Linked DNA regions of Neurospora crassa OR74A. The protein of the gene in region 1 purifies or fractionates together with the protein of each later gene. This does not show direct contact. Links are inferred from orthologs where the notes say so. Each region holds a gene or a part of one and is shown on either strand. Other genes may lie near its edges. The genes, in order: NCU00366, NCU03876, un-10, NCU05270, hsp98, NCU07954 and NCU08046.

Region 1 (4,258 bases):
TTAAACGTGATGTACTACCGTAGTGGTGCCATCTTAACAGTAAAGTGAGCACTCGTCCATGACACTCACGAACATCAAGTCGATAACACATAATGCTGAGGAGATTATTGGGACCATAAGAGAGTAGCTAACAAGCAAGTGGAACCCGATGTGCTGAAGTAGGTAGACCTCGATGGGGCACTGTTTCGTCGACAACGACATGAAGGCGCCTACACCCGGAACCGACTGTCTCGGGCACTTTGATCTTGATGATATCTCGTAGCCGCTTCGGGAAAGGACTACAACGGCTCGGAGGATAGAGAGATTCAGGCATTCATTATGTTTCTGGCATCGCTTGAGCAGTATACTGGAATATGTAGAGATATAAGTGACGTGTCAATTCAACGACTAACTAGATGACGTCCATGAAAGCCCCGATAACGATACACAGACACAGGAAAAGACATCCCTTGAGTGCGAACCATGGGACAAACATGAACCAAGACCTGAGAGTGAGTGGAGAAAACTGATCGCAACCCTTTCACGCATTTATCCATCTGCTTCTGGGTTTTGCATCCTCAAAACAACACAAAAGAGCAAGCTAGACTAGGCATCAAGCGGCAACGGAAGTAGTATCCTCAGTGGCGAGGGACATGATTTACTCATCGTCCTCCTCCTCAGATTCCTCCTCCTCAGACTCGGCCTCGGCGAGCCAGGTGAGGAAGGGCTCAGCAGCCTTGCGGATCTTCTTGGAAGTAGAGCCATCGACGTACTTCTTGGAAGCCTTGCTACCCCACTTGGTGATGACCTCCTCGGAGCAGAGGTCGTGGTGGTAGTAGAGCTGGAGAATCTTGACAATCTTGTCATAAGACTCCTTGCCGAGGTCGGCAAGGAGACGCTCGGTACCGCCAAGGAGGGCCTTCTCGTGACGCTCGGAGGTAACGAGTCTCTTGAGCATAGGAGCACGCTTGGGGATCTGAGCAACAATGTTCTCGTCAAAAAGACACTGAACAAGAACCTGGACGGTGCGGTGCTTGGCATCAATGCCGAGCTCCTTGGCCTTGAGGTAGATCTCGACATCGTCGACATTGTTAATGCCACCCTTGGCCTTGGCTTCATCCTCGATCCAAGTGCCGAGCTGGTCGTAGACGGTGTTTCCACCCTCCTCCTCCTCGTCTTCTTCACCATTCAGGACGAGCTTCTGCTTGAATTCGCCAGGAAGGTTCTGCTGACGGGCACGGACGGCCTCCTCGCTCATGTCGACAGCCCACTCCTCCTCCTTGGGAGCCTCTCTCTTGCCCAACTGCAAGCTCTGAGCCTCAGACTTGATCTTGCGAGTGAGCTCATCATCGTCGCTAGCATATTCAATGTTCTTATCCTCGATGGCAGGAGAGGCCTGGTCGGAACCGTTCTCGTCACCGGAACCTTCCTTATCGCCGCCGTTCTGGCGAGCCTTGCGGGCCGCCTTGCGCTCGGCCTTGTCCTTCTTGCTCTTCTTGGGGACGTTCTTGAGGATGAAGGAGGTCAGCTTGAGCTGGGGCTCAACCTTGCTGCGCTGGCCACAGGCCTTGCAGTCGAGAGTGATCTTCTCGTCCTTGATCTGGACAACCGTCTCGGGGTTCTTGCACTTCTTGCAGAGGACAAACTTGGCAATGAAGCCATCGAGAAGATCCTGGAGCTTGGCGGCCTCGTGGGAGCCGTTGATGATCCAGCGGTCATCAGGAGGATCAATGTTGGTTTGAGCACCAAGCTCGAAACCAAAGTACTTGATCAAATAGCCACCGGGACGAGCCAGGGACTGGGCAACGCTGCTGAGGTTGACAACGACGGTCTTGATACCGTTACCCTTGCCTTCAATCTTGGTCTGGATACGCTCCATCTTGTAGCGGTAGAAGGGGTCGGGGTTGTCCCGACGAACGTTGATAAGAGCACCCATTTTGGCGGTATTGACGGCGAAACAGGATGATGTTTGTAGTATTGTTTTGTTGGAGTTTGTTGGGAGTCTGGTAGACGATACCTAACGAGGGCAGACTAGTAGACTGGTCGACGATGTCGTGGAAAGCGAGGCTTCTTGTTGCACGGAGAGCGTGTGAGGAAGATCGAGAGGCGAGACGAGCCAAAGGGGTCAGTTATTGACGAGTACTTTGAGTTGACATAGGGTAGACCGTGTGGTTAACGAAGTCGAAGGTAGGCATTAACGCTGGCAGACGACCGTGGGAATGGCGATTCAACCGTCGGTACTTTGTTGGAAGCTACAGGGTTTCCGCGATATGCGAAAATGCAGCTTGACGGGGGGAGAGTGTCGGAAGACGGCGTGCTGGTCGTGCTGATACATAAACAACGCTGTGTCGCGCAAAATGCTTATGTTGGGTCTGGTGGTGGTTGTTGTTCTGAACCTGGGCGGTGCTGGAACAGAAAGCTGGGCGGGAGAGGATGGCTTTTGAGGCAAGCGAAATTTTTTTTCTCCCTCTGTGACGAGCGGGCTTCCTTTTCTTGACGGAGCGGAGCGGATGGAGTCGAGTGACTTTGTGTGGGTTTCTGCTGGGATAGTGGATTCACTTCACTTCCGTGGTGCGGCACCCGAAATCCGGGGGAGGTGGAGTTGATGGACAGATGGACAGAGAGCCCGGTCGCCTTTGTGGTCTTGGATAGATTCAAGGACGATGTCGCTGCTGATGGCGGTTGATGGGTAGAATGAAGTTGAGGTTAGTTTGGCAAAAAAGAGGCAGCAAGCAAGAGTTTTTAAAAAAGGACGAGAAAGCAAGTGGATGTGGATCGGTGCTGCAGAATGGAGCCAAACCGGGCACGGGCAACAAGGCGGGCAGTCACTGGACGAGCAAGCAAGAGGATTTGTCGGCCAAAGGATTTTCGTGGTGCCCTGGCTAGCCCCCCCATGTACTGTACACTACCTAGTGTAGTACCTGTGGCTCATGGCAGAGCAAGTCTAGGGTACTTCTTGTTTGGCAGGTAATCACCACCACCAGCGGGCTATGGGCAAAGTACCCGAGACATGTGTCCGTTCTCCAAGCCAGGCAACACCAGTTGCCGTGCAGGTACTGCGTGCAGTTCGTTCTTTCACACACTTCGTTTCGACACCGACAATGGAAGAAGGTCCCGTCGCGTTCCATTCCTACCTGCTTACCATCTCCCCGCCCACTGCAACGGGCAGCACAGCAACAGGACGGACGCGCAATGGCGTATGTTCCGAATGGCAAGTTAGGGAACTTGAAAGATTTTGATGCCATTTTGCCCCTCATCCACTCGGCGTTTCCACGCCTCTGCTTTCGATGCTCGAGTTCCGGCCCAAGGAATGCCTCTTGCAACAAGCTGACTCGCCGGACGGTGGCCAGAAGGCACCTGGACACAGAAGGCCGGATGAAAAGGCGGGACTCTTTGATGACCAGCCGGTATACACTAGAAGATCCACGCAGATGGGGGCGTTCCCTGTGTCTGTGCAATGTCCATCCATCCACACCAGAGACCAGTTCCACTTTGGTTCATTGTACTTTCAGTAACCGAGCCAGGCGGAGGAGGCCTTTGTAGTTGTCGGTCAAGTGAAAGTGACGGTCTCCCTCTCCGCCGTGTGCCTGGGTGTCTCACAACAATTACAGCTTGTCTGGGAAAGCCAATTTCTCTCCTTGGGAAACTTCGGAGTTACGGGGATGTGAAAAATGGGCGGCATTCGGGAAGAATCCGAAACACACGCGATATGTTTTGTCAAGGGAAGGCGGCAATATCAATCAACGCTTAACCAAGTCAACTACCTCTAGGTATGTACACTAGACTCATGCGACAAGCTAGTGTAGAACCAGCCCGCACCAATATCTAGGTAGATCTGTATCCGGCAAAGCGCCCCCCCAAACAGGCAATTACTATGCACCTAAGTCGTTAGGTATTGTGTACGGTTTCTTTCAGGGACGGCATCTCTCACCTCTGCGTCTCTCATTCTCAAGCCAGGGGCATCTGTTTGGCTGCAGGTATCATGTATACTTTCATAGCTCGCAAACAAACAACTTGTCTAAATCTCTTGATGACCTTTCGTGGCCATTTGGCAAGACACCAAGACTGTCAAACATCTATACTTACAGCTACATCTATTGTAATACAAGCCGTCTAAAACACATCCCGCAAGACCCCTGTACCATCACCTACTGCCCACCGATCGGTTCAAACTTCAACAGACACTTTAGCCCAGCCGGCCTTGTCGATATAAGCTGGTCCTCCATCTCCATGTCCTCCTCCGTCATCGTCTTATCCGGCACCGTAGTGAACTTGGAAT
Region 2 (3,763 bases), on another chromosome or scaffold:
GGCAAGGCTGCCCCCAAGGGAAAGAAGAAGTAGACCGCCTGATGGTGGTCCAGACCAAAAATACAAGCTACGGCACATGTATTGACTTGGCTTGGTATTCGAAGCTGTAGTTGCGTTTCATATGACTGGGTTAGATTGGGTGAAGGGGCTCGGTTCACCACTGAGAAGAGTCCAGGGAGGGTTAATGCAGTTGGCTCGCGGCGTTTCCGTTGTGTCGTATTCATGTTGCGGTCTCGGTGATGGTTATCTCACCTGCCGTCATTTAGCGAGGGATTTCTCTGCCTACCTGAGGAACAAAAGATATCCTTTTGGTCAAATCCGTTCTCTGATGGATGAATAGGGCATGATGTGCGCAGTCTTGTACTTCCTTTACCCCTGTATTATTGTTTCCACTTGTGTTGGATTCTTATTGACCATAAGGGAGTGAGTAAGCAATTGGCGAAAGACCTCTACTTATAACGTCCAATCTGATATCACATGAACGAGGTTGCGCAAGATAGTAAGCAGAAGAACGACCGAATTCAACTATGACAAATGACTCTTCTGTGCTTCGATAGGGACCAAAGGTTCCTTTCGTGACAAGATGGAAATTACATATCCGCTCTCCGCGCGACTCACTTGTTCGTTCGTTTGCTTCACATCGAACCGCACCACCTCATCGCTCCAATTTTTGCTCCTTTTCACTTTTTTTTTCACCAAATATTGGGTGGAATCGCCCAAATTCTCAGATTAGGTTGCCTGAAAAAAACGCCGTTTGTGAAATGCCCATTTCCCCCAAATTGTTGGATCCCTGGACGCGCGATGTAAAATAACCCGTTTGCTCATTTCCTTCCTCCGACAAGTCGAGAGAATCCTGAACTCAATAACACGACACCCATATTTCGTCCCGCGAATCGCCTTTCCGCCCCTTTCTGCCGCCCCTCCTCGGATCCTGCTTGCTGAAAGTCCGAAAGTTTCGATCGATGTCGATAGAAGGGATCCGTTTAGGCAGAAATGGTCTGCTGTTGTTGCTGGTTGAGCTTGTTTTGCCTCTCCCTCTCGACCTCGTACATAAAGTCAAAGTAACCCTTGTCGAAGTGATGGATACGGACGTAACCGTCCTCACCACCGCTGGCGTAGCTCTTGCCGGTCGGGTCGGCGGCAACCGTGTTGAGGGGACCGAAGTGACCGCGCACACGACCAATTTCGCTCTCGAAGATCTTGTGGTAGAAACGCGCCTCGAATTTACCCTGACGCGCGGAGGTGGTGGTGACATCCATGGCAGCCTGACCACCACCGAGAATGACGAAGTCCTTCTTGCGAGTGATGGTAGCGCTGTTAAGAGGGGTGTCGGCGGGGTAGGTCTTGAGGACCTCCAGGTCCTTAGCTGTGATGAGCTGTGAAAATAATCAAGGAGTGTTAGCATGCGATTGACTGTTCATTGATTTCGGTTTTAAGGATCCGGGAAGAAGACCAAAGAAAGAAAAAAAAAAGGGGGGGGGGGGGGGTTGTGGAGCCATGTGACATACCTTGGAGGTCTTGTCCTTGGAGGCGGTAATGAAGTATGTACGGTCGTGCGACCACTGGAGATCGGTGATGGGCTGGTTGAGCTCGTGGATGGGGATGTTGTAGAGGAGGTCGCCGTTCTTGCCGTCGAACTGGGAGACGGAGCCGTCTTCGTGGCCGGCAATGATGTACTTGCTGAGATAACTCCAGCCAGCAACAGTGGCCTTGCTGTCCTCGCAAACGATAGTCATGGCCTTCTCATCGCTCTGCTCGGCGTCAACATCGAGCTTGATGTCGAGGACAACGATGGTACCCAGATGACCCATGCGCTTCTCCGTCACACCCAGAAGCTTGCTGCCATCCTCACTGAACTCAACGCGCTTGACGGCGGTAGGGAAGTCCCATGTCTTAAGAAGTCTGCCGGTCTTGATCTCCCAAAGGCGGATGGTGTTGTCGGCAGAACCAGAGGCGAGGATGGTGGATGTGGGGTCGACATCAATGGTCCAGATGGCGCCCTGGTGGCCGTGGTATGTACCGAGACGCTCGCCGTTGTGCGCGAACCAAACGCAAATCTGCTGGTCCTTGGAAACTGAGAAGAGCAAATCACCGTCGCGGTTGTACCTGTTGGGGGTAAAGGGTTGCTGTTAGAGGCTGCATCTCTATATGCCCGACATGCCAAAGCCAGAACACCAAGAGGGGTCGGGTCGGCGGGTAAGGTATGCGATGATGATGCGGAGGGAAGACGAACTTGATCTGGGTGAGGGCACGTTCGTGGCCCGAAAGAAGAATGGGCCTCATCTTGATTGTGGGTTATTAAATATGACGAGGCGTGGACGGCGGTATGGAAGTGTTATGGTCGTTAGAAGACACTGAGTGGATTCGTCGTCGAGAAATATCGCGGGGGGGGGTTGCACGACTTGGGAGGTAGGTGGGTGGATTAGTGTCTTTGTAGATGCGGTCGTCGTCGTCGGATCGGTCTTTGGTGTTCTTTCTTTGGGTGGATTTCCACTCCCAGTAATTTTTCCGCAGATTGTGCGCGATAGGCTGGCTGGCTCTGGCGGATTCTGACGGCCGCGGGGCGAACCAACACCTATCCCTGCAGATGCCAAGCTGCCCCTCTCCAGTCCCTCGTCCCAGCCAGCCGTGTGCCATCCATTGAAGCTGCTGGTTTCAGTTCGGACCGGACTCTGGACCTTGCGATGCAGCCTGCCACCTCGATCCGCCGCTCGCAGCCTGCCGGCCCGTCGACAGCCACCGATAAGAAGTTGTGGCTCAGTCTGTGACTCAGAGTTTAAGAGTCAGCTGTATTCGTCAAGCCTGTGCCGCGGCCGCAAGCCACACCAACTTCAATCTAGAACAACGACACAGACAGGACAGTGCGAGCACATCATGATCCGAGCTGCTACCTGCAGCAAGCCGAGAACTTGTAGAGTCATGGATGCAGCATCTAGACACCCACTTCAATTGCAGTTATATGAATGCCCTCTTCCGGGGGTCGCATCGAGGAGGAAAAGTTCTTCAACTCTCGGAGATTTGTAGACGGAAATAGAGGCTTTTCTAACGAGACATGGTAGGATTCTTGCAAGAATGCATGGTGAATACGTACTATTTTGAGAAGCTTGGGTTTGGGCTCTATTCTATTTAGGTTATCTCATTGGCTTCACGTTTTGTTGTCACATTTACACTGGTCATTTGCGGCACGTCTTGAGACGCTCACCTTCGGTGACTCCTCGAGAAGGGAAAGAAAGAAAAAAAAAAGAAAAAAAAATCACAAATCACGAAACCTCTATTCCCGCCAGCAAACCGGCGATCATTGGATCCTCGACATCGATCCCCCGTCGTCTACCTAGGCGGGAACCCATTGTGACTCTTCTGTGCGGCGCAGAAAACCCCTGGGTCCCGAATCCGTCTGGTCCCACCCCGTCGTGGAGGTGCCCGGGGGCGTCGAGAGAGCTTGGCCGGGCGGAAGTCTTGAGCTTCTGAATATCCCTTACCCCGAGCCTGCGTCCGCTGCTGTTCAGTGTGATGTTGTTACAGCACGCACGCAGAAAGACCACTGCACCCTTCTTCTAGCTCTACAGTACCAGTCTGCGTCGTGTAGGCATGGCCATCTCCAGCTTCATCCAGAGGGTGTCTTCCACGTCAAGGAAGTCGCGTCGAGCCGGAAGCTGTCTCACATCCCTGTCCGCACACGGGTCGCTGAACACACGGCGGCGCATTCAAGTCGAGCATACGGGACAAGACGTGCTCAAAAGATGGACATTGTCGTGGGGCACGG
Region 3 (3,970 bases), on another chromosome or scaffold:
ACGGGCATTCTCTCCCTTCTCTTCTGTGGTGCCCTCCTCGAAGATCTGGGTGGGGCTAAACGAGGCCTGGAGATGGTCAGGCGGTTGGTTAGTTACGGTGAGCTCGGAAAGATGCCCAAAGTGATGTACAAATCAACTTGCCATGATGTAGAAGAAGCTTAAGTATTAGACAAAAGGTCGGGGATACGGGGTGCACAGGGGGTTGAGGTTGGAAGAGAAGAAGAAGCAATTGAAGCTTGGTAGTACTATATTTTGGGTGGACGTTATGGATACCCTGAACGCGAAGCCTCCTTTCTACAACAATCTGCCAGCAGCGGGACGGATGATGCTCTTCTGAATTCCAGGCACTTTTTGGACGGCAGGCCACGGCAAAATTCCAGAGCTTCCTGTTCCTCCTTTACCTCACCGCCTGCGACAGGTGGCATAAAATGCTTGTCACTCGCATGCCAGGCCGTCTGCCCCTCCTTTGACAGACAAAATGTCCACTTGAGGTGAGTGGGCAGCAGGGGACCCCACTTGGACGTCTTCCGTGGGGAAGGAAGAAAGGGGGGGGGAGGGGAGCTTTGGGCTGGCAGCGGCGGCGGCGGCGGTGGATAGTGGTGGACAGCGCAGCCAGCACTTTGAGAAGCGAGGAGCCCAGGGGACTACCGTCGAGGCTCAAAGCCAAGAGGAAAGGGAACCTGAGTCGGTGCAACGAACGAACCGCAACCTTCAGTCCACTTCTTGACTTCAAAGTGATGGCAACTTGAAACCTGTAAACTCTGCTGAAAGCGGACAGACGTTGCCATGGTCAATATTGGTTCCGTGCACAAACGAACAATGCTTAGCCCACTGCCTGCCGCCATCATTTTGTTAAAAAGAAAGGAAACCGAAAAAGTTGTAGTTGATGAAGAATAGAGACAGCATCGAGAACTTGACTTTCCCAGGCTGAGTGTTCATTGCGACTGTGCAATATCCATGATATCTGAGGCTCCGTCTTCTTTAACCTCCAAACTATCCACCCCATCATTGCATTCACTGACATAAATTCCCATTTTGGCGATTCCAGAGAGAGGGGATCTGGTAGGGTAGCCAATCAACGTGCATTATTGCCTCCTAAAGTGGGGCATTCCCTTCACTGTCTTCCCTGGTTCTCTGGCCGTTCTCACTGAACCCCACCACAATCTGCGCGCTGCGCACAAATTCTCACAATAATCCTGACGACCGCATAAGCCAGCACGTTGTTCCGCCCGCGGCATCGCAGAAAAAATCCGAAGCGGCCAGCCCAGAATCCCGTCATCCACCAAGTCCAACCACCACCACCACCACCAGAGGCGCCTTCCCGACCCGTACATCGCCAGCTACCACTAATCCCCGGCACCCACCAAGCATAACAGACTGCCGATTAATTGCCCAGCATGGCGCCCTCTTTCGACCACCTCCGCGACGAGGACCTCGACGAGGATGACTTCGATGTTGATGAGGTCGACATTTCCGATATCCGCGAGAAGTACGAGGTTCAGCTTGAGCAGGGCTACGATGCCTTTGTCGTTGTCGACGGCCTCCCCGAGGTCAACGAGGAGCAAAAACCCAAGCTCGTCAAGTTCCTGTTGAAGAAGCTCAACACGGTTGGCAAGACCCGGGAGGACCTCATCTTCATGCCCATGGGCGAGGATGGAAAGTCGCTGAGGTATGCAACACAGCCGCCGCCTTCAAAATGATGCGCATCTACAGACCGGCCATCCATCGCCGCGCCCGAACCGCGATGTGTCCCTATGCTGTGCATGTTGGCTCCCCGACCAGGCCACTGATATGAATTCTGTAGGTTCGCCTTTGTCGAGTACTCGTCGCCCGCCGAGGCCGCTGCCGCCTGCAGACAGCTCGACCTCGTCCCCCTCGACAAGAAGCACACCCTCCGCGTCAACAAGCTTACCGATGTCGACCGCTATGGTCGCGAGGGCCGTATCGATGACGAGTACACTCCTCCCAAGATCGAGGAGTTCCAGGAGAAGGAGCACCTCCGCTCCTTCATGGCCGACCCCAGCGGCCGCGGCAGAGATCAGTTTGTCATGTTCAGGGGAGAGTCCGTTGGTGTCTTCTGGAACAACGAGAAGGATACGCCCGAGAATATTGTTGACCGCCAACACTGGACCGAGACCTTTGTGCAGTGGTCGCCCCTCGGTACCTACCTTACCTCCGTCCACGCCCAGGGTGTTCAGCTTTGGGGTGGTCCCTCGTGGACCAGGCAAAGGCGTTTTGCCCATCCTTTTGTCAACCTTGTCGCCTTCTCTCCCAACGAAAAGTACCTTGTCACCTGGTCCAACAGGCCGATTTCGATTCCTGAGGAGGGTCACCCCGCTCTTTCTGTAGAAGACGACGGCAAGAACTACGTTATCTGGGATATCGAGACCTCCAAGCCCCTTCGTTCTTTCGCCCAGCTCGACACCCCCGCCGCCGCCGAGGGCGAGGCTCCCAAGAAGGCCCCCAAGTTCCCCTGGCCCGCCTTCAAGTGGTCTGCCGATGACAAGTACGTCGCCAGGCTGAACCCCGGCCAGTCTATTTCCGTCTACGAGCTTCCGAGGATGAACTTGTTGGACAAGACCGCCATCAAGATCGAGGGCGTTGTGGACTTTGACTGGGCTCCCGCCACCGTGCAGCGCGACGGTGTCAAGTCCTACGAGCAACTTTTCTGCTTCTGGACCCCTGAGATTGGCAGCAACCCCGCCAGAGTCGGCTTGATGAGCATCCCCTCCAAGCAAGTTGTCAGGTCACTGAACCTCTTCAGCGTCTCGGATGCCAAGCTCCACTGGCAGTCCGAGGGTGCTTATCTGTGCGTCAAGGTTGACCGTCACTCCAAGTCCAAAAAGTCTCAGGCTACCACTCTTGAGATTTTCCGTGTCAAGGAGAAGGGAGTCCCTGTGGAAGTTGTCGACACCATCAAGGATACCGTAATAAACTTTGCCTGGGAGCCCAAGGGCGACAGGTTCGTTATCATCACCACCACCGAGCCTGTCGGTGCCACCGCGGTTCCCCCCAAGACGTCGGTCGCTTTCTTCTGCCCTGAGAAGGCCAAGGGCAATGCTGTTGGAAACTTCAAGCACCTCCGCACTCTCGAGAAGAAGAACAGCAATGCCATCTACTGGTCGCCTAAGGGACGCTTTGTGGTCGTTGCCACTGTTGCCAACACTCAGAGCTCTGATCTCGACTTTTACGACCTCGACTTTGAGGGCGAGAAGCCCGAGTCCGACAAGGACCTTACCGCCAACCTTCAGCTTATGAACACCGCTGACCACTACGGTGTCACCGACGTTGAGTGGGACCCCTCGGGTCGCTTCGTTGCCACCTGGGCTTCCGCGTGGAAGCACTCTGTAAGTATCATTGGTATTAAATCAAGATGACGTGCAGCAGAAATCGCTAACGTGAAACAAAAACAGATGGAGAACGGATATCATCTGTATGACTTCAAGGGTGAGCAGCTGCGCGAGGAGGCTATCGAGAAGTTCAAGCAGTTCCAGTGGAGGCCGCGCCCCGCTACCCTCCTTAGCAAGGAGGAGCAGAAGGCCATCCGCCGCAACCTCCGCGAGTACTCGAGGATCTTCGAGCAGGAAGACGCCGAGCGCATCAGCAGCGCCGACGTTGCCGTTGTCGAGGCCCGCCGCCGCCTCCTCGAGGAGTGGTTCGCTTGGCGCGAGGCCATCAGGCAGGAGGTTGCCGAGGAGCGCGAGATCTACGGCCTTCCGGCGGATCCCGTTGCCGACCTCATCAAGGCCAAGACCCCCGAGCTCGCCACCGACCAGGAGGAGCAGGTCATCGAGGAGATCATGGAGGAGGTGTTGGAGGAGACCGAGGAGATCGTTCAGTAAATGTGCGAATAGGCGGCGGCAGTAGTTTGATATGTTGTGAAGTTACATGGCGTACCGTTTTTTCCCCGTTTTTCGAAAAGGTCATCTGAGGGTACAGTGAATAAAATGAACTGGGTTCTTTCATATCT
Region 4 (4,102 bases), on another chromosome or scaffold:
CAAGGAGCCTGGAACGCACCCAAGTACGGCCGGCTCATTAGCACACCGAACGATGCCGAGATGTTGGGAATAGCCATGGACGGCACCATGTATCACTTTACGCTGCTTGATCAGCACGCATTGCGTCTGTTGCGATTCATTGTCAACTTGTATAACCTCAGGGGGAAGAGAGACGAGGAAAGGCTGCTGCACGCGGAGCCGAACCTGGGTCCCACTGAGCCGTCGCATGTGGATGGTGATGTGCTGAAGACACTCTTGGATGCGGAAGTCTTGCAAGAGCTGATCAACACGGAGGAGCTGTTGGCGCGGTTCAAGAGCCTGTTGGATAAGTTGGATGGAGGCAAACATACTGCTGAGTGGATGGGCGAGGGCACTGCGGACCAGTATTTTGAACTGGCGTATAACGTGTTGATGTATTATCTTAGGCAAGTTTACTAAGTGCTTGGAATTCTAAGGCGGGGGGGGGGGGGGGGGGGAAGGGCAAGATACACTGGTAATAAACGGACGTGTGATCCAGTGTCGGCCTACAAGCCGTCCTGATGAATGCCTTGGTGGTGTAGCTACAGCATAATAGAAAAGCGAATAAAGAATATCACTAGCAACATCTGGTTAATGAAATACCCATTATGACAAGGTGAGGGAGTTGGCCTGCCCCCTTGGATGGAATATCGCACAAAATACACCAAAGTGGTAGAAAGTAAATACAGAAATTAGCCCAGCAAGTGCCCCACTTGTGCCTTAACAAGCAGGTGCCCCGCATTCTGCACCAACGAGTCGGTCACTGTACTTGTACGCGGGAGTGCAGGAGCTTCCACTTCTTTTTCACCACTGCACTGTACTGTACTGTATTTGTCTTGACTGCTGTCTCCAACAGTCTGTGCAGTGTCAAGTCAAGGGCTTGGTCAAAGCGACACCTCCTGGCTCCGGCACAAGTAAAAAAAAAAGTTTGGAGTGGCGATCCTTGTCTGGATTTTTCTGCTGAATCGAGACTCCTTTGACTTTGCGACTTCGACTACTTGGGATTGAGTTAGAGAACGGGACATGATTGCCGTTTTTTGACCGTAGACGGAGACAATACCAAACACTTTATACGGGTTGAAAGAAAGCGCATAGGCAGACGGTGTAAGTACAGGTACTGAGATAGGTACGTACCTGACCTCTATATAGTGTAGCAACAAACCAGAGCGGGATTCGATACAAAGAACAACGAAAGAAAAAAAAAAGATCCACGGTGCCAAGTACCTACAGTACCATCGATCCACTCTGCAGCACCACCACCGAAAAGTGATACAAGTGACAAGCCCTATCCCGTCGACAAGGGGGGACCTACAGCACCAAAAAAAGTACGCCGCCTGCCTTCTTTAGCAGCCAGCCATATCGCATATAACGGCCCAGTAGCCCCAGTCGGCCGCCCCACGAACCCACCACCAGAACCACCTAGCGAGCAACGAGGTCTTCACCCGGACTTCGACTTTCGTCACAAGGAGAGAAGGAGAGCCCATCAGGATCCTCTCCCCCGCCCATCCTACCGACGACATCCCCGCCTCAAGGTATTCCCCGGTCGACTACCAACAGTCCAGTTAGCCCAACATGGCGCCCAAGAAGAAGGGAAACAAGAAGGCCAACGATGACTGGGAGGCCGAGCTGGGCGAGTCCATCGCCCCCGTCAACAACAACGGCGCCGATGCTGCTGCCGCCTCTCCCGCTGCCGCCGACGACGAGGCCGCTTCCGGTGGTGGCGGTCTGATGGAGAGAATGCGCAAGGCCAAGGAGAAGCGCAAGAAGAAGGGTCTTGCCGACGACTGGGAGGCTGAGCTGGGCGAAGACGCTCCCGGCGCCGAGAAGCCCGCTGCCGCCGAGCCCGTCCCCGATCTGTCGGCCAAGGTCGCCGAGGAGGCCAACCTCGACGACGAGTTCGCTCTCCCCGAGAAGAAGGGCAAGGGTGGCAAGGGCAAGCAGCAGCAGCAGCAACAGAAGGCTGCTCCCGCCGCCGCCGCCAAGAAGGACGAGGATGCTGCCGATGAGGATGGCCCTAGGGTGTTGACCAAGGCCGAGAAGGAGAAGCTCAAGAAGGAGCGTGAGAAGCAGCGCAAGAAGGAGCAGGTGAGTACCCAGTCATTATCACTATTACCCACTAATGACTATACATACATCAGACACAAACGGAAGACTAACAACAACTTCTTTTCACTAAACAGGCTGCTGCTAAGAAGAAGGGCACCACACCCGCCGCCGCCGCCAAGGCCGAGCCCGCAAAGGAGGAGAAGAAGGCCGAAACCCCCAGCCCCGTCTCGACCCCCGCTTCCACTCCCGCCCCCGAAGCCGCCGCCGGTGGCAAGAAGAAGAAGCTCCCCGCCCACCTGCTCGCCCTCCAGAAGCAGCAGGAGGAGCTGCGCCGTCGCCAAGAGGAGGAGGCTAGGCTCCTCGCCGAGGAGAAGGCCAGGATAGAGGAGGAGGAGCGCGCCGCTGCCGAGGAGGCCAAGCGCAAGGAGGAGGAGCGCGCCCGCAAGAAGGAGAAGGAGAAGCAGAGGATCGAGCAGCTCAAGAAGGAGGGCAAGTTCATGACCAAGGCCCAGAAGGAGGAGAAGGCCCGCAACGAGAGGAAGCTGCAGCAGATGTTGGCGGCCGGTATCAAGGTCAACGCGCTCGAGGGTGAAGAGTCCAAGAAGAAGCCTGTCTACGACGACAAGAAGAAGAGGGCTGCTAACAAGAAGGTGAGTCTGTCCGGGATTCTTGCTACAATTACGGTATACTATGGACGGCGCTAACCAGTGTCTACTTGCTACAGAAGGACGAGGAAAAGGCTCTCGCCGAGGCCGCTGAGCGCGCAAGACTCGCCGCTGAGGCTCTGGTCAAGGAGCAAGAGGAGAAGGCCCGCATCGAGCGCGAGAAGGCCGAGAAGGAGGCTGCTGCCAAGGCTGAGGCCGCCAAGGCCGCCGCTGAGGACAGCGTCGACGAGGACTGGGAGGCCGCTGTTGCCTCTGACAAGGAGGATGTCAAGGACAGCTGGGACGCCGACTCCGACGAGGAGGAGGAGACCAAGAAGGAAGAGACCAAGAAGGAGGCTTCTAAGCCCGCCGCGGCCAACGGCAAGACTCAGGCCAAGAAGGAGGAGTCCGAGTCCGAGTCCGAGTCTGAGGAGGAATCTGAAGAGGAATCTTCTGAAGACGAGGAGGCTACCGCCAGGGAACTGGAGGAGGCCCGGAGGAAGAAGGAGGCTGCCGAGCGCCGCGAGAAGGCTCACCAGGCCGCTCTGGCTGCCAGGTCTGCGGACAACCTCCGCTCGCCTATTTGCTGTATTCTTGGTCACGTCGATACTGGTAAGACGAAGCTGCTCGACAAGATTCGTCAGACCAACGTCCAGGAGGGTGAAGCCGGTGGTATCACTCAGCAGATTGGTGCCACTTACTTCCCCGTTGAGGCCATCAAGCAGAAGACGCACGTCGTCAACAGGGACGGCAAGTTCGAGTTCAAGGTTCCCGGTCTTCTTATCATCGATACCCCCGGTCACGAGTCTTTCTCCAACTTGCGTTCGCGTGGTTCTTCGCTCTGCAACATCGCCATCTTGGTTGTCGATATCATGCACGGTCTCGAACCCCAGACTCTCGAGTCCATGAGACTGCTCCGTGAGAGGAAGACGCCCTTCATCGTCGCTCTCAACAAGATCGATCGTCTTTACGGCTGGAAGAAGATCGAGAACAACGGCTTCCAGGAGTCGTTGGCCCTCCAGAACAAGGCTGTCCAGAACGAGTTCAAGAACCGTCTCGAGCAGACCAAGCTCGCCTTCGCCGAGCAGGGTTTCAACTCGGAGCTCTTCTACCAGAACAAGTCCATGGCCAAATACGTCTCCTTGGTCCCCACCTCTGCCCACACCGGCGAGGGTATCCCCGACATGTTGAAGCTCATTGTCCAGCTTACCCAGGAGCGCATGGTTGGCTCTCTCATGTACCTCTCCGAGGTCCAGGCTACCGTTCTCGAAGTCAAGGCCATCGAGGGTTTCGGTATGACCATCGATGTCATTCTCACCAACGGTATCCTCAGGGAAGGTGACCGCATTATCCTATGTGGTACAGAAGGCGTCATCAAAACCAATATCAGAGCC
Region 5 (4,194 bases), about 950 kb from region 1:
GAAACCCACTCTTCCGATAATGGGGAGACGCCAAGCCATCAATTCTCCGCTTTAGATGCAATGGCTGCAGTGGATACTCGTAGCTAAAATAGCCGAGTCCCACTTTTACCCGCTTCTACGTTTGCCGTGCGCGACCCCAGCGTGCCGCCCTAGCGACACTGTCACAGGCCGGCAACTGAAGTGACAACCTGAAGCGGATAATATGCCACATCCATGAAGTTTATATTTCCAGAGGGAACTCCTGCATCGCGATGTTCATCCAAGTCCTGGTGTGATGGAAGAAACAAACCCCAGTCGAGGCCAATGATCTCCAGCTGTATCCAGCGGGCTACTCTCTTTCAGGATTCGGTCCTCATCTACACGATTGTTTTCCTGCGCGGCGAGCCTGGCTGACTTCTCAATCGTCCTGGTAGCCCAGATTGCTGGCAGGGTTAACCGTGCAAGTTAGCTTTCCAGAGATTGTAATGCATATCGGAGTGATATCGCAGCAAAGAAGCTCGCTGTTCAACTGACAAAAGCGTAACTAGAAGGCCACTTGACGTTGGAAGTGGCAGCTTGTGGTTCTGGTCGTGAATGGGTCGAGCCATGGCCTTGCACCCATCAAAGAGGGATTATAAGTCAACTTCTACTGACACAAAAAGAAGCCAAACTAGTATCAAGCATCGAGTTGATCGATTGCCATTCAGACTCCTCAACCAGTGTCTCCGTTCCTGTCCGAGGTTCTCAAGTGGGGAGGTGTTGATGACTACATAGTGGCAAACGAGACGTGGGAGTATTGTGGTATAGAATACCACCGAATGCACCGAATTCATCCATCTCGAAGGAATATGAAGTGTGACCAACCAAACTGGCTCACGTTGGGCGCGCTGGTTAGAGGAATCTCATGATACCCAACCCACCACGATGCGCAACATTACGTATTCGACTATCTCGTCGTAGAAATCACGGATGCGCAAGGAGCTTCCCTTACGCGGTAATCGCCGAAGACCTTACTGCGCCTTCTTGGCCAGACCTGTAGATGGGAAAAGGTATGTATGGTGAGAGAGAGATGCTGGAGTGTGAGGATACCGACATTGTGGTTCGTCCAACTGGGAGAGAACGTCCCTTGTTGTTCATCTGCGCAAACGAAGACAAAGAACAACGGTGAAGGATTATAGTGGAAGGAGAAGACGGAAGTGAAAAGAAGCATTGCAGTAACGTCCAGCTGTTTGGGTCTCGACAATCCTCTCTGGTTGGAGTCAGGTCGATGCAGGTACTGCGATGACGGAGAGACAGTCCGAAAGCGCGGACCCCACTGGAAAGCTTCCATGTGCCCCGCCCTCCAGGTACCCACTTTATACCCCTCAAGCCCGAACAGGAGCCAACAGTATATGGTGACAGGAAGACCGCTGAAGATTCGAGTCGCTTCGTTCTTGCGGGCAGCCTGCTTGCTTGTCACTATGATGTCGTCGCTTCCCGTGCGCCCGCCCGCACAGCTACCTCTACTTGCGACAGGCTGCGAGGACCATCGAGAAGCAGCTAGAGGTAGATACTCATCCCACTTGCTCTTGCACGGCCAGCTCGGGCATCAACTCGCGACTTCTCTCCCCACCAAGGCTCACGAATAAATTCCACTCCTTCTGACCTCTCCCCCCCGTCAGCGATTCTTTGTTTGTTCCCCAGATCAAAACACAAAAGTCTACTAAGAGATACCCCAAACACAATTGTTCTTTTCTTCTCCAAGATATACATCAAGAGTGAAGCCTCACGTCACACTAGCTTCATCTCAACATTTCCGCGATTTTTCTCTTTTGTACATCAACAATAACACATACACACACACCCCCAATCGAAACACAACACCACACAAATTCTGTAGGGACCAACAGAGTCTCGCACACTAATTCATCATGACGTCGAAAATGGAATTTACAGACCGGGCCAAGAAGGCATTGGAGGATGCCATGGCCCTGGCAGAGCAATACGCCCACTCGCAACTCCTCCCCGTTCATCTGGCAGTCGCGCTTCTCGACCCTCTCCCAGATCCGAGCAAGGACCAGCAAAATGCACCAGCCGGGGCAACCAGCTCTCTCTTCCGCCAAGTCATTGAGAGAGCCCACGGCGATCCCCAGCTGTTCGACCGCGCCCTCAAGAAGGCCCTCGTCCGCCTCCCCAGCCAAGACCCTCCTCCCGACCATGTCTCGATGGCTCCTTCCTTCCATACAGTCCTGCGCAAGGCCAACGAGCTGCAGAAGACGCAAAAAGACACATACATTGCCGTCGACCACCTTATCACAGCCCTGGCCGAGGAGCCCTCGATCATGAATGCGCTCAAGGAGGCCAACATTCCCAAGCCAAAGCTCGTTACCGATGCCATCCAGGCCATTCGCGGTACCAAGCGCGTCGACTCTCGCAATGCTGACACTGAAGAGGAGCACGAGAATCTCGCCAAGTTCACCATTGATATGACAGCCATGGCCAGGGAAGGCAAGATTGATCCCGTCATTGGTCGTGAGGAGGAAATTCGGAGAGTGATCCGTATTCTTTCACGTCGTACCAAGAACAACCCTGTCCTTATCGGTGAGCCTGGTGTCGGTAAGACTACCGTCGTTGAGGGTCTCGCTCAGCGCATCGTCAACGCTGATGTGCCCGACAATCTGGCCAACTGCAAGCTTCTGTCTCTTGATGTCGGTGCCCTGGTGGCTGGTAGCAAGTACAGGGGTGAGTTTGAAGAGCGCATGAAGGGAGTTCTGAAGGAGATCTCCGAGTCCAAGGAGATGATCATCCTTTTCATCGATGAAATCCATTTGCTCATGGGCGCTGGCGCGTCCGGAGAAGGTGGCATGGATGCGGCCAACCTTTTGAAGCCAATGCTCGCCCGTGGTCAGCTTCACTGCATTGGCGCTACCACCCTGGCCGAGTACCGCAAGTACATCGAGAAGGATGCTGCCTTTGAACGTCGTTTCCAGCAGGTCATTGTCAAGGAGCCTTCCGTTTCTGAGACAATCTCCATTCTACGTGGTCTCAAGGAGAAGTACGAGGTGCACCATGGTGTCACTATTTCCGATGCTGCCATTGTGGCCGCTGCAAATCTTGCGGCCCGCTACCTCACTTCCCGCAGACTTCCTGATTCGGCTATCGATTTGATCGACGAGGCGGCTGCCGCAGTCAGAGTCGCTCGAGAATCGCAGCCCGAAATCATCGATTCCTTGGAGCGCAAGTTGCGTCAGCTCAAGATTGAGATTCACGCCTTGTCTCGCGAGAAGGATGAGGCTTCCAAGGCTCGTCTTGAACAGGCGAAGAAGGATGCCGAGAATGTGGAGGAGGAGCTCAGACCCCTCCGTGAGAAATACGAACAGGAGAAACAGAGAGCCAAGGCTCTCCAGGAAGCCAGGATGAAGCTTGAGAGCTTGAGACAAAAGGCCGAAGAGGCTAGCAGAATGGGAGATCACAGCCGTGCTGCTGATCTTCAGTATTACGCCATCCCCGAGCAGGAGGCAGTAATCAAGAGGCTTGAGAAGGAAAAGGCTGCGGCTGACGCTGCGCTCAACGCCGCTGCGGCCGAAACCGGCGGTGCCATGATCACCGATGTCGTTGGTCCCGATCAGATCAACGAGATTGTAGCACGGTGGACCGGTATTCCCGTCACACGCCTCAAGACCAGCGAGAAGGAGAAGCTTTTGCACATGGAGAAGCATCTCAGCAAGATTGTTGTCGGTCAGAAGGAGGCCGTTCAGTCTGTGTCCAACGCTATCAGACTGCAGCGGTCGGGTCTCTCCAACCCCAACCAGCCTCCCAGCTTCCTGTTCTGCGGTCCTTCGGGTACCGGTAAGACTCTGCTCACCAAGGCTCTTGCCGAGTTCCTGTTTGATGATCCTAAGGCCATGATCCGTTTCGACATGTCTGAGTATCAGGAGCGTCACTCTCTCAGCCGCATGATTGGTGCTCCTCCCGGCTACGTCGGTCACGACTCTGGTGGCCAGCTGACTGAGGCCCTTCGCCGCAAGCCGTTCTCCATCCTTCTCTTTGACGAGGTTGAAAAGGCAGCCAAGGAGGTCTTGACCGTTCTGCTACAGCTCATGGATGACGGTCGTATCACGGACGGTCAGGGCAGAGTCGTCGATGCCAGGAACTGCATCGTTGTCATGACGTCTAACTTGGGTGCTGAGTACCTTTCTCGTCCCAACGCCAAGGACGGCAAGATTGATCCAACCA
Region 6 (4,266 bases), on another chromosome or scaffold:
TAGTACGGCCCATCGTCGCCTACATCAACGCCAAGCGCACCTACATCCCCATCAGTTGCCGGATCGTAAAGCGGCTGACGGACTTTGACGGAGCTTGGACCGTTTGGGACTGTGGGCTGATGGACGATATGAGCGCCGAGGTGTACCGTGCTTTTGCCAGAAACGTAGAGGATCAGCAAAGTAGGGTGAGGAGATTCAAGCGCGTGGGACTGTGGACGGTCAGTCTCGTGGTACATGCGTTGCTGGCTGGCGTGGCGGGAGACTTGATGTGAGCCGTCATTGGATATGACACTGACGATTATAGACTTTTGCCTGTATTTTATCAGGCGGGTAGAGGAAAAGTCTTGTTTTGTGACGATATGGGGTTGTGTTGTACTATCCTTTTTTCTCTCTCTCTTCTCTACTTTACTTTACCGTGAGGGGGTTACCATACCTTTCCAAGCGGTATTTCACTGTACTATACATACATCAAACATACTTATATGGCTCTGAAAAACAGGAGCTCGAAGGAACAGACAGGCAGGCAGGCAGGCAGGCAGGTTATGGTTATGAACAGGAGGGAGGGGATTTGAAACTGGTTTACGCTCTTAATGACCCGGACGGATCGAATTACTGGCTGGAATCATATGAATGCGGGAGGCGAGGTGTTTTGTGTGCCCTGGTTTTGTTGTCAGTGATGATGGTTGCTCAGGGCAGATCAACATCGCGATCGGAGTTTTAAGTGTTTTGATTAGGGTACAGCAACATTGTCTGAAAAGTTCACATGGTGTTCATGGTCGGGAAATATCACCTGTTCACTGGTGTAAGTTTCTGAGAGGGTTCTGAGATGGTGACTGAAATAGTGTTGGTTGTAATTTTAGCCATGGCATCGATAAGAGAACCTCACACCAGGATGATATGCAGCCTGGACTTTCGAAACGTGATGCTCGCCTTCATTATTGAATGCACTCTAAATCTACTTTCCCCCATGCTATATGGTATCTGCTGCCTTTTCCCGTCACCCCCAAGTCGCGACTCGATCAGTGCCCCAAGAGGCCATCCTCCTTTTTTCGTCCAGTCTGGCACTGATGACGACTCTGATCCCTCATGCATCCATCCAAGACATCATGCCACTGAACCTTACGTCCGGACGGCGGACGTGCCGTGACCGTTGCGCGGGTGTCGTGGTAGTCTACGCTTTCTTTTTACGCCATGAAACACACGCAACCGCTACTTTTTTGCTTCGCTCCGAATGCTTCCCGGGTGAGATGAGTATTATACCTGGTGAAGGGGATGATTCTACATCCCTTGATGGGAAGAGGGACTCGAGGCCTCTCTTCCTCACAAAGCGAACGATTGTGATTTATCGGTAGAAATCTTTCACATGAAGTCATCACTAGAGCGAAACGTTAGCAATCGTTCCCCACGCGTATCTTTTCTCACTCCACCTCAAGCCAACTTACTCTCCGAAAGCATCATCATCATAAGTGTCGTGGGCCTCAGCAATGGCACCACCACGACCAACACCAGCGAGCGAGGTCTTTGTCTTGGCAGCCTTGCTCTTCTTGCCACCCTTTTCGGCAGCCTTCTCCTCCTTGAGCTTCTCGTTGCTGAGAGCAGTCAAGGTGCTAGCAATCTTCTTGATCTCGTCGCTCTTGAGGTCCTTGGCGAGCTGCTTGGAGAACTCCTGGAGGAAGAGGGTGTAGTGCGGCTTGGGCGAGAGCTTGCCGATCATGGGGCCAAGAGTGGTGCGGAGGGTCTCAAACTGGGTCTTGGTGGTAGGGTTGAACAAGGCCAAGGTCGAGATGTCGATGGTGTTGTTGGGGTCCTTGGGGTCGATCTGGACAATGGTGCCCTTGCTGACGACCTTGCGGTCGTTGCTGATGCCGATGCCGGCAAACAGGTCCTCAGCGTGTTTAAGATCGGACTCCTTCTGCTCGCGGCGGAGGCGCTCGCGGCGCTCGGCCTCGGTCTCCTCCTCCGCGTCCGAATCCTCAGCCAGCTGGCGGGCGCGCTCGGCCTGACGCTCGGCGATGCGCTGCGCCTTGGACTTCTTGTTGGCGGCGGCTTCGGCCTCAGCCTTGGCCTTGGCCTCGGCGGCCTTCTTCGCCTTCTCGCGCTCTACCTCGGAGTCCTCGGCGGCATCCCACGAGTCGAGAACGTCGCTCTCGTTTCCCTCCTCATCGTCGAAGCGGCGGCGGCCGGGGGCAAGGACAGGCGAGTTGGGGGCGGAAGACTCCTCCTCTTCCTCGTCTGTGGTGATGAGGGGTTAGTTAGTCTGGGTTTCGAACAGGTTGTGGTGGCGCAACAGGAAAGTCGATGCAAGAGTTGGTTCTGGTTGATCTGTATATATAGGCTGCGTCGCTGAAGTCCAATTCGCCTCAAACATGGAAGCCTCGAGGCATATGGCAATGTTAACAGCGTCTATCGCAAGCCGGCGCAGGCATCAGGCAGCCTTGTCACGGCGATCGCGGCCGCCCACTTTCGCCGACATACACTGTTCGCGGGGTTCGTCTTGCGCAAAGAGGGAAAAGGCAAGGAGAGCGAGGAAGACTTACCCCACTTCTTTCCAGACATGTTTGCGATTTGGTAGTGACGATCTAGAAAACCGAACGGGTCTTTGCGACAACGATGTCTGGCGCGACGAGGAAAAGTTTGCGTGCTGTGGTTGGTTGTGTCCAAACTGCAAAAGAGAAGCCGATCGCAGTCTTGAGAAGTTGAAAAAGCGAGCAGGGGTCAGCCACCTTGAGTGTGGTTCCGTTCGCAGTGGGCAAAATAACTAGGTATTGTTAGCGGGGTTAGAAGACCAACAGTGAAACAGCAACAGCGTTTCACAGGTTCTTCAAGGTTCTTTAACGTCTAAGATTTTAATACAATGCCAAAACTGCCAGGGAAAAGGGCTTTGTGACCAATTGGATTTCATTGAGAAGATGCCCGATGAAGATGAGGAGGAAAACCAGAACCTCCAGACGCCTGGGGCGGCTAGTCTTCAATACACAGGAATCGTCCCCATTTATTCCTCCCGTTTATGTTTTACCAAGCACCTGACTTCCTCGTACGTCTTGCTTGCTACCATCCCTTCTGAATAACCACTTCCTTCCCATCTTTGGTATATATCAATGCCTTCCCTCCAGAAGGCTTTATGCGGGGTCAGTGCTGTGTCGCACGGGCCCGTCAGTCAGGGTCGGTGCTGAGTCCTGACAAAAACCATCAGTTCGCCAACATGCCCGTCTTTATTTCCCTTTTTCTTTTCTTTTCGTTCTCTTATCTTTTAGGACATCTTGTATATGCACGATGCATGCACCATATATGTACGGCCTCGGTCAAGCAGCATGTGCTAGGTGCAGCAGGCCTAGAAGGATGGCTTTTTGGAGAAGTCTGTTAACGCATGTGGAGAGAATGATTCATAAACAACTAGGTGGATGCTAAAGCTCTGCTCTTTCACCAAATGTTCTGGACCAGGAGTCACCCGAAAATGCCCTGCGTCGTCAATATTTTGTACACCACTTCCACCCCGCTTCCGACACGGGATAATATTTGGACACTTGCAATTGTTCCTTCGATCCTACACTCTACGAATAACTACCACTGACGTCACAGCAAAGTTAGAAGTTTAACATGAAGCCATTCGCAACTTATGGCCCAAGACATTTGTTTGTATATTTGCAGGTTCGGAAGCAACCAAGCCATTGCTCAGTCATGCTGTGTGTCCTATGAGAACAAGTGCGACTGGTGTTCCGTTTCCCTCCGCTCGCTATTACTGTCAGCAAAATCTCCAACACATAACTCGCCCAAGTGCCCTGTCAACCAACCAACCAACTATCAATGATCTCGAAATCTCCTGTGGCTGTCTTTGTGTTGAGTCACAATCCCCCAGTCTTAGTGTACTTGCTCAGGGGCTCGCTGTTCTTCTGGATATGTACAAGGCTAATCCCGAGAATGTTGCGGAAGTGGAACTGCGCCCTATGGCTTGTCACCCGGGAGGTCCCGACACCGCCAAACAACGACATCCAGCTGACCACCACAATCGATGCCCGGTTGCCACTTTGAGGATTCAAAATGAAATTTTGTCCTGGTTGAAGATCTGGAGCTTTCCGGGTTCCTTTCGCTAGCGCCCGCTATTTGCTTGTTCCTGGATTGTCTTGATGTTAAAAAATGGAGATTGCTTGGGCAGTGTCGGAACTCTATTGCTCCTTTGAGACCAGGGACGGACAAACTCGGTGTTTTCAGTCAGCTCTCGTATTCCAAATTTTTCCCTGAAAGGAGTTGCAACTGGGGGCAGGAAAG
Region 7 (3,790 bases), on another chromosome or scaffold:
AGTTTCCTTGATCTGAGTGACCTCGGTGACGATCTCGGCGACCTTCCCCAGATATCTTCAACTTCACTTTCGAAGCAGGGCTCGAGACCCGCGCCCCATTTTAGGTCTTTGTCGGTTGCCAACGGCGGCTTGGGTTCGCGACGGAATAAGACACAGCTGGCGGAAGGTCCCCCACCTGCTCCCCCGCCGAATCGTGCCCTTCCTCCAATCCCGAGAAAATCGTCACTTCAAGTCTGTCACTCAGCATATTCACCTTGAGCTGTGATTTGCATTTACTCGTATCTGGCGCCATACCATCATTCAACGCATCGCCATTTCTGGACGTCTAGGAAGCACGACCACTGAAGTTTCCGAGTATCTGTCAGCGACAATACTTGCAGAGCAAAGGGCGCCTGGGGATTCAACTGATAGAGATAAACCGCCATCGAACCGCTGATTGACTCCGTCACCATTTCCTTTGTCTCTCTTTTTTCAAGGTCGGGTTCAGTCGAAAAACAAGATACCGGTTAGATGGATGGAATAAGGATGCAGGAAGCAAGATACTGGATACCCAGGTGATGAGGGTACATTTATACCACCGGCGACATCCGGAACGTAACGTGTGAACGATCTCCTTTGTCAGGTCGATTTGGTGCGGGATTTGTCTTTTTTTGCCATATACCTTGTATTATGTAATGTTGGGGTACCTACTGTGTATGTAGGTGATTAATTGAGGAGGTGAGTGTGGTGGGCATGAAGGGCGGGGTGGTTTTCGATTCTCAATCGGAGGAGGGGGGTCACAGAGTCAGAAGAAAGCTGGTGCCCGGCAGGCTCCGTGGCCAACTTAGATAGCAGTGAGTTTAGAGCATCAGATATGGATGCTTGGAGAAATCTGAATCGAGTTCAAACTCTCAAACTTTAACCTCGGTGCCAGCCATCAACTTGCAAACAAAGGTACCTACTATGTACAACACGTCCTGGTGTCGAGAGAGTTGAGCTAGCTCCATGTTGCGGCGCCGCGCCCTGCCCCTGGTAGGCCTGGAGGAGCAACGTTCGGGTTAGGGTTGTGATGCCTGTGATGCCCCCACTAATGGATGCGAAGTGGAAGCAACCCAAAGCGGATAATGAAAGAAGGGGCAAAACACCTCAACGTATACGTCTGGATGCGACCAGTCCTGCTTTGTCAAAGAACGAAGCTTCGTTTGTAGGGAGCCGTATTGGCTGTCATGTGCGAATCTGCTGCCTTGATATTGTACGTAGGATAGAGCACCGTTAGCTGCCAAACAGGGCTGATTTCCTGAGTGAAAGCCGAGTCAGCAAGACAATTTTTGCCCCACACTCAAATATCCAAAAATTCCCACCTCCAAAAAATGGGGGGGAAAACTGCCCTGGCTTTTCAAACTTGAGCCCCACCAAAAATCGCCGCCAAACCAGCGCAACGTCAACCCATCGCGACGACAACCCACGGCCATTTCAGTCATCCACCGCACCCATCACCAGACGAGCCGAACCTGCGGAATCAAAACAACCACATACTGTCAAGATGGCTGCCGTTCAACAGAAGTCAGTACTCCTCCGCTTGCCTCGACAGCAAACGCCCGTCTGCATCCACGCCCCCGATTCCCCCGATTGCCATTTTTCCGGCGTGCTTCACAACCCAACACGTATGCATTTGATTTCTCGGAGAGTAAGAGTCTAACATAGTTCGCGACCATTCAGGCACGACTGGGCCGACGATGACGAGCTCGAGGAGACCTCCACCGAACTCCCGCCCCCTCAGAAGATCACCAACAAGGATGGCAGCACGACCATCATCGAGTACCGCCTGAACGACAACGGCCAGAAGGTCAAGACCACACGACGCATCCGCTACATCACCCACCGTGAGGTCGTCAACCCCCGCGTCGCTGAGCGCAAGTCGTGGACCAAGTTCGGCCTTAGCGTCAAGGACGGCGCCGGCCCGGCCCCCGACACCACCTCGGTCGGCGAGAACATCATCTTCAAGCCTTCCTTCAACTGGCGCCAGGAAGCCAAGGATGAGAGCAAGGACCCCAACGCCCAGGCCATGAAGGACAAGTTGAAGGACAAGAAGGTCAAGTGCCGTATTTGCAACGGCGAGCATTTCACCGCCCGCTGTCCCTACAAGGACACCATGGCCCCCATCGGCGAGGCCGGCGCTGCCGCCGACGTCGCCGCCAGTGCTGCTGACGAGGCTGCTGCCGCTTCCCAGGGTGCGGCGGGCGCGGGCAAGAAGGGCTCGTACGTGCCACCTGCGCTGCGTGGTGCCGGTGGGGCCGCGGCTGCTGGAGAGAGGATGGGCGGCAAGTACGGCGAGCGCGACGATCTCGCCACTCTCAGAGTTACCAACGTACGTTTGCCCCTAGTGTCCCCCAAAAGGACGCGGAGGAGGAGGAGGAGGAGGAGGTGGTGGTGGTGGTGGAGAAGAAGAAGAAGCAGAAGGAAAAGGGAAAGAGGGAGTAGGCGACAGACTTGCAAAAGCTGCTCTGTTCTGCTCCTAAAGAGGGGTTATTATGACGGGACTGATTCGTGCTAACATGTTTTCTACGCTTAGGTCTCCGAGATGGCCGAGGAACAAGAGCTTCGCGATATGTTCGAGCGGTTCGGTCGCGTCACTCGTGTCTTCCTTGCCAAGGATCGCGATACGGGTCTTGCCAAGGGCTTCGCCTTCATCAGTTTCGCTGATCGCAGCGACGCTGTCAAGGCTTGCGCCAAGATGGACGGTTTCGGTTTCAGACATTTGATCCTTAGGGTTGAGTTCGCGAAGAAGGCTGCGTAAACTTAATGGGTCTTCTAGACGGACGAGGAGGCGGAGGAGAGGGAGGAAGGGGTTAGAGGAATGATGGAAGAAGCAGCGATGTTTTGGTCCCTAATGCGGTCTGCACAAGGAAGTGCGTCATCAAAATGGGAAAGGACTCTTTGATACTACTATTACTTGATCTGGTTCCTGTCTCTTCTTGCTGTGGGGGTTCATACTAATGGGGAACAAGCGGCAAAATTTGTCATGATCGAGAGATTTCTTCCGCCTTTTAAGCATATCGGGCCAGGGTGGCCAGGTGGTTATAGTTGACTTTTGTTACATGGATGACGGGCTAACTCCAGGTTGAACAAGATCGGTGTAATAGACTGGCAACATGCCCGGACTACAGGAGCCCAAAACGCACCGAAGCTCTTCAGAATACAGTGTGGTCTTCTTGTCGATTCAGGGCGCATGCCAGTGTTTAAAACAGCTGACAGCCTCTCTGAACTCTTGAATTATTATCAGTGCATTTATCTATCCCGCTGAACGTCCCTGGCATCAAACATTATATTACTTGGTGACAGAATCTGTTATGATGTCCTATCATCAACTCAACCGACCAATCGCAAAGACCGTAAGTTCCTGAGCTCTCTCAAAGCAGCCGGCACGTCCCTTCATCCTCTTCATCTTCCTGTCTCATTCATCTCATCACCGTAAAAGTCGTTCATCCCTCCGCCCTGCCCTCATAAATCATGAAGTCTTGGAAGATGTCGACAAAGAAAAATGGCTGGTTGCCTATAAGAGAAATAAGAAACAAATATCACTCGAGAATGAAATGAAAAAAAAAAAAAAGGGGGGGGGGGGGGGACATTCGGCGCAAAGAAACCTCAGCAACAACACCATGAACACACAAGAACAATAGCCTCCCGCCCATCATAACCCCTACACCTTCTCATCCCTAGACCTTCTTGCCTTTCCCCTCCTCCTCCTCCTTCGGTCATGATCACTCTCTCCATCAGTATCATTCCCTTCCTGCCTTTCCTTCTCCTCCTC

What was found.
Region 2: the proteins of NCU00366 (region 1) and NCU03876 purify together in Saccharomyces cerevisiae (affinity purification with western blotting; 13 studies listed by BioGRID, with this or other methods). This does not show direct contact. The link is inferred for Neurospora crassa OR74A from reciprocal best matches to the Saccharomyces cerevisiae genes TIF5 and TIF34.
Region 3: the proteins of NCU00366 (region 1) and un-10 purify together in Saccharomyces cerevisiae (affinity purification with western blotting; 16 studies listed by BioGRID, with this or other methods). This does not show direct contact. The link is inferred for Neurospora crassa OR74A from reciprocal best matches to the Saccharomyces cerevisiae genes TIF5 and PRT1.
Region 4: the proteins of NCU00366 (region 1) and NCU05270 purify together in Saccharomyces cerevisiae (affinity purification with mass spectrometry, with the first as the bait; 3 studies listed by BioGRID). This does not show direct contact. The link is inferred for Neurospora crassa OR74A from reciprocal best matches to the Saccharomyces cerevisiae genes TIF5 and FUN12.
Region 5: the proteins of NCU00366 (region 1) and hsp98 purify together in Saccharomyces cerevisiae (affinity purification with mass spectrometry; 3 studies listed by BioGRID, with this or other methods). This does not show direct contact. The link is inferred for Neurospora crassa OR74A from reciprocal best matches to the Saccharomyces cerevisiae genes TIF5 and HSP104.
Region 6: the proteins of NCU00366 (region 1) and NCU07954 purify together in Saccharomyces cerevisiae (affinity purification with mass spectrometry; 5 studies listed by BioGRID, with this or other methods). This does not show direct contact. The link is inferred for Neurospora crassa OR74A from reciprocal best matches to the Saccharomyces cerevisiae genes TIF5 and HCR1.
Region 7: the proteins of NCU00366 (region 1) and NCU08046 purify together in Saccharomyces cerevisiae (affinity purification with mass spectrometry; 4 studies listed by BioGRID). This does not show direct contact. The link is inferred for Neurospora crassa OR74A from reciprocal best matches to the Saccharomyces cerevisiae genes TIF5 and TIF35.

Annotation. Positions count from the first base shown.
Region 1 is NC_026503.1:3,590,780-3,595,037, reverse strand, and holds NCU00366 (eukaryotic translation initiation factor 5), read right to left. Parts: upstream 2,801-4,258; 5' UTR 1,916-2,800; coding exon 638-1,915; 3' UTR 299-637; downstream 1-298. Other genes in the region: NCU11030 (hypothetical protein), read right to left, coding at 4,128-4,258. UniProt on the Saccharomyces cerevisiae protein: Catalyzes the hydrolysis of GTP bound to the 40S ribosomal initiation complex (40S.mRNA.Met-tRNA[F].eIF-2.GTP) with the subsequent joining of a 60S ribosomal subunit resulting in the release of eIF-2 and the guanine nucleotide.
Region 2 is NC_026506.1:1,995,036-1,998,798, forward strand, and holds NCU03876 (eukaryotic translation initiation factor 3 subunit 2), read right to left. Parts: upstream 2,546-3,763; 5' UTR 2,284-2,545; coding exon 2,234-2,283; intron 2,107-2,233; coding exon 1,509-2,106; intron 1,377-1,508; coding exon 984-1,376; 3' UTR 501-983; downstream 1-500. Other genes in the region: crf4-1 (chromatin remodelling complex ATPase chain ISW1), read left to right, coding at 1-33; NCU03877 (C-1-tetrahydrofolate synthase), read left to right, coding at 3,589-3,763. UniProt on the Saccharomyces cerevisiae protein: Component of the eukaryotic translation initiation factor 3 (eIF-3) complex, which is involved in protein synthesis of a specialized repertoire of mRNAs and, together with other initiation factors, stimulates binding of mRNA and methionyl-tRNAi to the 40S ribosome.
Region 3 is NC_026507.1:3,330,318-3,334,287, reverse strand, and holds the start of un-10 (eukaryotic translation initiation factor 3), read left to right. Parts: upstream 1-1,170; 5' UTR 1,171-1,397; coding exon 1,398-1,669; intron 1,670-1,804; coding exon 1,805-3,347; intron 3,348-3,413; coding exon 3,414-3,842; 3' UTR 3,843-3,970. Other genes in the region: NCU02207 (T-complex protein 1 subunit beta), read right to left, coding at 1-66, 142-144. UniProt on the Saccharomyces cerevisiae protein: RNA-binding component of the eukaryotic translation initiation factor 3 (eIF-3) complex, which is involved in protein synthesis of a specialized repertoire of mRNAs and, together with other initiation factors, stimulates binding of mRNA and methionyl-tRNAi to the 40S ribosome.
Region 4 is NC_026504.1:5,514,373-5,518,474, forward strand, and holds the start of NCU05270 (mitochondrial translation initiation factor IF-2), read left to right. Parts: upstream 1-1,302; 5' UTR 1,303-1,590; coding exon 1,591-2,103; intron 2,104-2,198; coding exon 2,199-2,714; intron 2,715-2,788; coding exon 2,789-4,102. Other genes in the region: NCU05271 (hypothetical protein), read left to right, coding at 1-438. UniProt on the Saccharomyces cerevisiae protein: Plays a role in translation initiation. Translational GTPase that catalyzes the joining of the 40S and 60S subunits to form the 80S initiation complex with the initiator methionine-tRNA in the P-site base paired to the start codon.
Region 5 is NC_026503.1:2,635,817-2,640,010, reverse strand, and holds the start of hsp98 (hsp98-like protein), read left to right. Parts: upstream 1-1,394; 5' UTR 1,395-1,889; coding exon 1,890-4,194. UniProt on the Saccharomyces cerevisiae protein: Required, in concert with Hsp40 (YDJ1) and Hsp70 (SSA1) and small Hsps (HSP26), for the dissociation, resolubilization and refolding of aggregates of damaged proteins after heat or other environmental stresses.
Region 6 is NC_026504.1:1,231,142-1,235,407, forward strand, and holds the start of NCU07954 (hypothetical protein), read right to left. Parts: upstream 2,801-4,266; 5' UTR 2,557-2,800; coding exon 2,538-2,556; intron 2,233-2,537; coding exon 1,443-2,232; intron 1,376-1,442; coding exon 1,360-1,375; 3' UTR 273-1,359; coding exon of another isoform or gene 1-272. Other genes in the region: pod-1 (mitochondrion biogenesis protein), read left to right, coding at 1-272. UniProt on the Saccharomyces cerevisiae protein: Component of the eukaryotic translation initiation factor 3 (eIF-3) complex, which is involved in protein synthesis of a specialized repertoire of mRNAs and, together with other initiation factors, stimulates binding of mRNA and methionyl-tRNAi to the 40S ribosome.
Region 7 is NC_026504.1:4,018,414-4,022,203, reverse strand, and holds NCU08046 (eukaryotic translation initiation factor 3), read left to right. Parts: upstream 1-1,135; 5' UTR 1,136-1,205; coding exon 1,206-1,231; intron 1,232-1,287; coding exon 1,288-1,542; intron 1,543-1,698; coding exon 1,699-2,347; intron 2,348-2,551; coding exon 2,552-2,776; 3' UTR 2,777-3,290; downstream 3,291-3,790. Other genes in the region: NCU08047 (hypothetical protein), read left to right, coding at 1-258. UniProt on the Saccharomyces cerevisiae protein: RNA-binding component of the eukaryotic translation initiation factor 3 (eIF-3) complex, which is involved in protein synthesis of a specialized repertoire of mRNAs and, together with other initiation factors, stimulates binding of mRNA and methionyl-tRNAi to the 40S ribosome.